Linked DNA regions of Cricetulus griseus. The protein of the gene in region 1 purifies or fractionates together with the protein of each later gene. This does not show direct contact. Links are inferred from orthologs where the notes say so. Each region holds a gene or a part of one and is shown on either strand. Other genes may lie near its edges.

Region 1 (4,191 bases):
TTGTAAGTTTGAGAGTTTATTAGGCACAGAGGGTGACTGGAGCAGAGTTACAAAATGGCTGTTCGGTTTCCTTCAAGCTGAAAAGAAGCTGGTGTTTTTCCTGCTGCCACCCTTCAAGGCTGCATTCGAATGGCCCCATCAAGCCGGATGACCTCTCCATTCAAGAATGGGTTCTCAATTATGGTCTGTACCATATGAGCGTATTCAGCAGGGTCACCTAGTCGGCTGGGGAAGGGCACCTGGCTGGCCAAGAAGTTCTGTACTTTCTCTGGAAGGGTGGTAAGCAGTGGGGTGGCAAACAAACCTAGACAAGAGCACCAGAATCAAAGGTTCAGTCTTGTTTTCATAGTTACCTGCTACTTCCTCACTTTAGTGCTAAGCTGCTGATACCTAGGTAGTGGGTATCTGCTCCCATCTGCCTACATATCCCACCCAATTCTAAGTATGGCAAAAAAAGAGAAAGAAATGTCTACCTGGAGCAATTGTCATCACACGGATGCCTAAGGGAGCCAGATCTCGAGCAATGGGCAGTGTCATGCCCACTATACCCCCTTTGGATGCAGAGTATGCAGCTTGTCCAACCTGGAAAAAGAGTGGAGATCATAGGTGGGAGAGCCCCCACAAGAACTTTGCAACCCCCAATCGATGGGCGTTGGTGTCACATGCCTTTAGTTCCAGCACTCAGGGGGCAGGGACAGGCAGATCTCTGTGAGTTCGAGGCCAGCCTGGTCTACAGAGTGAGTTCCAGGACAGCCTCCAAAGCTACACAGAGAAACTCTGTCTCAAAAAACAAACAAAAAAAACAAACAAACAAACAAAAAAAGAACTTTGCCCCATCCACATACCTGACCGTCAAAGGCAGCCACACTGGCAGTATTAATGATAACTCCACGTTGGCCTCCCTGGTCTGGTTCATTCTGGCCCATCTCACCAGCGACCAGGCGGATGACATTGAAAGTGCCTAAGAGATTCACCTAGAGGGTGGGTAGAACCACGATGTAGGATGTAAGGCCTTTTGTTTGCTTAAAAGCTGAGTGCCTACAGCCAGACATTTTTTATTCCTACCCCTGGAGATCTGCCAAGGCCTTACATTGAGAACCCGCTGGAAGTCCTCCAAGGTATGGGCCTGGTTCCTCTTTTGGTTGTATGTCTTAATTGCCACTGCAATACCTGCACAGTTGACAGCCACATCTACGCGGCCAAACTTTTCTTTTGCTAGAGTCAAAGCTGCTTGTACATCCTTCTCAGAGGTCACCTTGAAAGGGAGAAATGAAGGGAAGGTATTCATTTCCTGGCATACACAGAGCACTAAACTTAGAGAGTAGGGAAGCCCAGTCTTTGAATGGGAACAGAATTGAATAGGAACAGAACTGTGTGAGCAAAAGAAAGCCAAGAGAGAGTTGTGATAAAAACAAGTGAAAGGAAAAATGGTAGGAACTATAGAAAAGTATTGCAAAGCATTTTTCAAATTTATACTCTCTTTGGAGTGATAAGCCCCTGGTAATTCTCAGCTGCTATGAATTGGGGCACTATACAAACTTGTTTTGCTTTTTCTCTTTTGCAGAATTGACAAACTGAGGGTCTCCCACATGCTAGGCAAGAACTGTACCACTAAGCTATATTCCAATACAACCCTGTTTGCAGAATTACTCCCAGGAACATGATCTTTTTTTTTTTAAACCCCTTCCTGCTGAGTTCAGGTTTTTCAACTCTGTAAACTCTGTAAATATAAAATCACTGGGCAAGATAGGCATTTCCAACAGTTCATATCTCCTCCAGGAAATCCTGGTGTGTCCAGTCCTCATGCCCATTATGCTGAGCCCCGGTGTTAGAATTCTTACTGCAGGTGATGTTATGTGCTCAGGGACTCAGGTCAAAAGATGAAGAGAGATGGACTCACCACCCTTACATTTATTTGTATGCATGTGCAGGCATGTTTGCGCCAGAGCACATGTGTGGAGGTCAGAGTCTGTTCTTTCCTTATACCATGTGGGTCCTGGGGATCAAACTCAGGTTGTTATGGATGGCAGCAAGTGCTTTTACCGGCTAAACCATCTGACTGAACCCAGGCAGTAATTAGGAGCAACCCTCCCCCCTCCAAGTTTCCTCATGCACACTCCGGTAAAGTCCTGACTCACGTTGGCTGGGGCAAACAAGCAGCTCTCTCCTAACTTCTTGGCTTGGGCCTCACCCCCCGAGTTAGGTAGGTCCAGAAGCACAGCTGTGGCCCCTTGTCCCACCAGTCTTTCGGCCGTAGCCAGGCCAAGGCCCGAAGCTCCTCCAGTTATTACTGCGACCAGGCCCTGTGAAGAGGTACACGTGAAACGAACTGCTAATGTCCAAACCACCCCCACCCTTTCACCTGCCAGTTCCTGAATTCTGCGAAGAAGCAGGGGCAGTCAGTGACTCCAGTGTGCTTCCTCTCCACACCGCTGACGCGGCGGGGGAGGGGGTGTGTGTCTCATCCCACGCGAGTTTCTCTGTGACCCCTCACACACATGCAGTTGGACGTTCACCTATTGAGCCCAACCACCACAAACCCAGGCCCGGATAAGCAGGACCCTTTCCTTCAGGCACCGATCTCTCCTCTCTAGTTCATGCCAGCGCAGTCCTAACCTAGCCTGCGTAAAAACAAACGTTAGAGGCACAGAGCAGTCTACCTTCACGCTCCGACACGCCGCAGCCATCTTGCACCGGTCTCGCCACCAGAGGAGGGCTTTTACTTAGTCCCTCTTGCACATGCGCTCGCTGATTGGCCGGCATAGAGACGCCTACTGGGGCGGGGAGCAGCGGCTGCGCACGGTAGGGGGGAGGGGAGGGGCGTAGCCTGCTGCGCAGGGACCTTGGAAAGGGGAAAGGCGAGGACTCAGACTAGGGAACGTTTTATTTGTAAAAACAACCTGGTGGCACCTGCATGGTATCACCACCCCTTCACCCCGCTCTCTAGCTAACCATTTGGCATGCAGCCACCTCCACCAGAGGACGCCAGAAACTGAGTCCCTTTCTCAGTAAAACTTTTCAAGTATAAGTGAAACCGATTCCTATCTGCGAGGTTCTACCGGGTACTGCGGATACACAGAAGAGGAGTAACAGGTCCATACTTCCCAGGAGGACACAGTTCATTTGGAGAAAGACGAAATTACAGGACAGACAACGAAAGGGGCAGAGAACCAGATTTTTTTTTTCAGTAATGGAAGCAAACTCCAAGGCCCTGTACCCGTTAAACAAGTACTCTACAAACAGCTACAAATAGCCCAACTGCAGGTTCCAGAATACTCAGCTGAGGAGAGTGAAAAAAAAAAGAAAGAAAAGAAAAAGAAGCTTCTGAGATACAGAGAAGCAGCAGCAACAGAGACAAATATGTCTAGGCAAGGAGAGAGGTCAGACAGGATCACACTTGATTCTTGTGGGTGGAGGGGATAACAAAACAGGTATTCCAGGGCATCTTTCATCACCTCAGCCTTTACTATGTTCCTGTGTTCGATGCCTAGATGGAACACTAGATTGGACCTCATCCACAGCCTGTTGTTAAAAACTCAGGTCTCTGGTCATTCTAAAAGAGCTTTCACTAGTATCTAAATTAGAATCTTTAGGATGGACATCTAATCTGTCTTCCATCTATGTTTTTCCTCAACCCAAAGTCTTCAGGCCCACCAATCTCAGCCTACACTTTCTGACTGTAATTGCATTATGTTTTTTTTCTATGTTAAGTATTCTCCAATGGACTTCCCTCAAGGACTCCTAGTTGTTGACAGCCAGCATACCTGTATTGATTTTCACTACTTTATCAAAGGATTTAGCACCAGATTAACAATCTTTATTTTATTTTATTTTTGGTTTTTTGAGATAGGGTTTCTCTGTGTAGCTTTTGGAGCCTGTCCTGGAACTCGTTCTGTAGACCAGGCTGGCTTCGAACTCACAGAGATTCACCTGCCTCTGCCCCTAAGTGCTGAGGTGAAGGCGGGGTTTAAATGACTCCACCAGACCCAAGATAGATGATAATTAGGTATTTATTAGGGAAGCACTTACACAGATAAGAGTAAATAACCACCGCCATCTTCCTGCTCCAGAAGATGCAGTCTCCTTATGTTCTCCATAACCAAGACAGCTCGGGCCAGCCCCTCCTCTATCTTATAATGAGTAACATCTACACCTGAAACCACGCCCAAAGGTTGTGGCCACTATGTGTGG
Region 2 (3,928 bases), on another chromosome or scaffold:
AAATGTTGCCTTTCCTCTAGCAATGAATTATTGATTTTTACTTTCAGTGGTTACTGATATGGAAGGGACTCTGGCTAGATGGAGCATGGTGAGCATGGATGGCTCTGGCAGGCCTTACCCTTCTCTCCCATCCCCTCTGCCTTGCTAAAAAACCATTAGATTACCTTCCTAAAGATAGCCATCAAGCTCTATTTCCTTGTCTGGCCACTTCCTCCCCCTGAGGCTGAATACCAAGGTCCAGCTATGGAAGTATTAAAGTCCAGCAATCAAAACCCCCTTTGGCCCGGCGTTGGTGGACCACGCCTTTCATCCCAGCACTCCGGAGGCAAAGACAGGTGGATCTCTCTCTCTCTCTCTCTCTCTCTCTCTCTCGTTTTGATTTTCATTTTTTTCGAGACAAGGCTTTTCTCTGTGTAGCTTTGGAGCCTGTCCTAGAACTCTGTAGAGCAGGCTGGTCTTGAACTCACAGCGATCCACCTGCCTCTGCCTCCCAAGTGCTGCCACCAAAGCCAGGCTTTTTTTTTTTTTTTTCCTCTCTTCGTAAAGATTACACCAGCAAAGGTCATTTGCTGGTTTTCTGCCTGTGTTGGAAAGCAGTCCCCCGCTGTGTGTGTGTGTGTGTGTGGGGTCTCCTTCTTGTCTCAAACGCTATTGAACAATCTTTTTGTTTGTTTTTGTTTTTTTTTTGGGGGGGTTTACTGAGACAGGGTCTCCCTGTGTAGCCCTGGCTGTCCTGGAACTAGCTGTGTACATCAGGCTGGCCTCAAACTTAAGCGATCCCTCTGCCTCCCTGGTGCTGAGATTAAAGATAAACTTGGCTAGAATTAAATTTTAAAGTAGAACTGCAGGATCTGCGCTCAGGTCGCTTTGTTAGGACATACATACAAACACAGCAGCCGAGCTGAGGACCGGTTAAGGGGATTCGAGTTCTAACAACTAATTAGTAAGTAGGGTGACGGGGCGCCGATGACCAGCGCCGGCCTTGGTCATTTTCACAAGGGCTCACTGGCAGACCGCGGACCGACTTCAAGCTGGGAAACCGCTGGCAGGGACAAACGTCAGAGGCAGCGCCGAGAGGACGAGGCGGGACTTCCGGCGGTGCCGGATTTCCGGCGGCCGCAGCGGAAACCCCCGGCTCCGCTTCGGCATGTGCGGCGCACGGTAAGGCGTGCAGGGGAGGCGCCCTCGCCCAGTTCGCGAGTCCCCGCGTTCGGCCGCATTCCTGGCCCACGGGCTTCCCGCAGCCGGTGTCCTCGGCCTGCGTGGTTTTCCCGGATGCAGGTTGTGGAGCGTGTGTGTTAAGCTGTGATTTTGTAAGTAATACACTGCCTGAAGCAAAGCCGGGCTTACCAAAATTGTCTCCGCTATTTGCTTTAAAATGTAAGTTATGCGGGGCTGGAGAGACCCGGTCAGCGTTTGAGACGTTTAGTGCTCCTGCAGAGGCTTGAGCATGGTTTTCAGCACCCACTTTGTAAGTTCACAACTGTGTCTGTAACCCTGGCCAGGTGACCTCGTGCCCGCGTACATAATTACACACACACACACACACCTCTTTAAAAAGAAAAATTAAGTAGGTTTCCGTAATAAGTGTGGCCAGTGGAGCCTGAGGCAGGAGATCTGTCTGGAGTTTGAGGCCAGCTTGCGCTAAAGAGTGGAGAATCTGCAAAAATTATTTTTCTTTTTTTTTTAGGCTTTAATTTCTGTACTATTACAAAATCTTTCTACACTGCAAAGGCAAAATTCAACTATTTTGTTTTTATAATTTTTTTTTTTTTTGAGGCAGGATCTCATGGGATTAGAGGCCTATGCCACCACACCTGGCCCAAGATAATGTTTTTGAAATCCCTTTGTCAAATTCAGGTCCTGAAGATCCTAAGCTAAATATTTCTCAAAGTTCGGTGTCAGTTTCTTGTTTGTTTGTTTGTTTTTTAAATCTTTAAGGTTTGAATGTTTTTTTTAAAATGGTTTCTCAAGACAGGATTTCTCTGTAACAGTCCTAGCTGTCCTGGAACAGGCTGGTCTTGAACACACTGACATCCACCTCCCAGTTGCTAGGTCTGAAGGTGTGGGAGACCACCACCTGGGCTGGGTTTTGGTTTTGGTTTTTTTTTTTTTTTTTTGGTTTTTCCAGACCAGGTTTCTCTGTGGCTTTGGAGGCTGACCTGGAACTAGGTCTTGTAGACCAGACTCACAGATATCCACCTGCCTCTACCTCCTGAGTGCTGGGACTAAAGGCGAGCACACCGCCTGGCTTGGTTTTTGTGTTTTGAGACAGGGTCTTACTGTATCCCTGGCTGGCCACAAACTTAGAGATTCATCAGCCTCTGTCTCTGGAGTGTTGGGATTAAAGGTGTGTGCCACCAAGCCTGGCTCTGAACATTTTTTAACTGTGAGAATGAACGTTTAACATAATCCTTATTGTAATGGAATATAGTCTTTAGCTTCTCGTGGGGAAAACAAATATTAGAGTGTTGCAAGCATGGTCATAGACACAGGGTGCTGTGAAAACTAATAGGACTGTTGAAAGTGTGAAATGGTAAAGAGATGTACAGCTGAAAAGGCAAAGGAATGCTATTATGAAAACCTGCTTATAAGCCACATTAATGAACTTGGTACTTATCGGGACATAAAATTATGATTATTTGGGGGTGGGAGGAGTGTATCTGGGCATCTGCACAGGCCAGAGACAGCAAGGACATTTAGGAGTGTGCAAGGAAGCTAAAGGTTGGGATTTTTTCAGTAATTTTCTCTTTCCCCTCACATTTTGCATCAGTTAACAAACTAAGCATCTTCATTGTCTTGTGGAAGGAACATATAGGTACTTAAGATAAAATTATGGAGATACACACACACACACACACACACACACACACACACACATACACACACACCAATTTTGAACATTTTATCTTACAATATTTGCTATGAAGTCTGAGCTGAAACATTTGTTTTAATCAGCTGCTCTATATTTCTGTTTTGGAAGCACAAAAACATCTGTGGCATCTCTTTATCTTTTATTAGGTGTCATCTTATGTAACTTCCCTGTTTATTTTGTCTTCCTCCTTTTTTGTATTCATGAAGGATCTTGAGATTGGATATGTATGTGAAGGAGACTACAGTATCTTGTAGTTACAATTGTCTTATAACTTTCCTATCTAGTTACATTGATCCTCTAGGCCTGTTTCTATAACAAATCTAAAAAGGATATTTGAGTCAACTTTTGTTTAAAAATATGTTGAAATTCATATGTAAAATAAAAACATGTGGTGATACATAGCTGTAGTGCCAGTTATTTCAGAGGCTGAGACAGACCACTCAAGGTGATGTGTTTAAAATTAGCCTGTTCAACATAAAAGACCCTTGTCTCACAAAAATAAAAAAGTTAAAAATTGACCAGTAAGTGATCACAACAAGTTTTGGACCATAGGAGTTAAATTAGTGGAGAGGGGCTGGGAGGAGAAGGGGCAATGGAAACTGCAGTTGGGATGTAATATGTGAGAGAATTAAGTTAGTGATGTGCAACATCTAAGTTGTTCAGAGGTTTCCCTTTGTGCTTCAGAAATCAGTTGCTTCTGCAGCCAATGAAGCCAACCAGGTTCCTTTCCCCATGGGGGTCTAGTGTGCAATAGTTGCAAACACTATCCTCCTTGGTGGCATATGCAGCTTATTGAATGCGCAGGCTGCCCAAAGGGACCTTGGAGACAGTTTTCAGGTGGATAATCATGTGTTATCTCAATGCTATTTCCACCCTAGGCTCTAGACAAGTACTTGGAGGTTTCTCTGAGATGTCCTAGGCCCAGTGGCCAGAGTTTACATTGGTCAGACCATCATGTCCATTCACACCAAACTGCAGAATAAGGAATGTGTGAGGTTCTGTGTTGAGCCAACTTCAGTTTTTCTGACAGCTGGAAGATCACATCTTAGAGAA

The links. Proteins that work in one complex are often made in the same cells at the same time.
Region 2: the proteins of Hsd17b10 (region 1) and Trmt10c purify together in Homo sapiens (co-immunoprecipitation; 3 studies listed by BioGRID and IntAct, counting the BioPlex papers as one, with this or other methods). This does not show direct contact. The link is inferred for Cricetulus griseus from reciprocal best matches to the Homo sapiens genes HSD17B10 and TRMT10C.

Annotation. Positions count from the first base shown.
Region 1 is NC_048604.1:107,497,221-107,501,411, forward strand, and holds the start of Hsd17b10 (3-hydroxyacyl-CoA dehydrogenase type-2), read right to left. Parts: upstream 2,801-4,191; 5' UTR 2,688-2,800; coding exon 2,661-2,687; intron 2,304-2,660; coding exon 2,139-2,303; intron 1,256-2,138; coding exon 1,091-1,255; intron 975-1,090; coding exon 846-974; intron 583-845; coding exon 474-582; intron 305-473; coding exon 114-304; 3' UTR 1-113. UniProt on the Homo sapiens protein: Mitochondrial dehydrogenase involved in pathways of fatty acid, branched-chain amino acid and steroid metabolism. Acts as (S)-3-hydroxyacyl-CoA dehydrogenase in mitochondrial fatty acid beta-oxidation, a major degradation pathway of fatty acids.
Region 2 is NC_048597.1:36,042,973-36,046,900, forward strand, and holds the start of Trmt10c (tRNA methyltransferase 10 homolog C), read left to right. Parts: upstream 1-1,128; 5' UTR 1,129-1,313; intron 1,314-3,572; exon of another isoform or gene 3,573-3,707; intron 3,708-3,928. UniProt on the Homo sapiens protein: Mitochondrial tRNA N(1)-methyltransferase involved in mitochondrial tRNA maturation. Component of mitochondrial ribonuclease P, a complex composed of TRMT10C/MRPP1, HSD17B10/MRPP2 and PRORP/MRPP3, which cleaves tRNA molecules in their 5'-ends.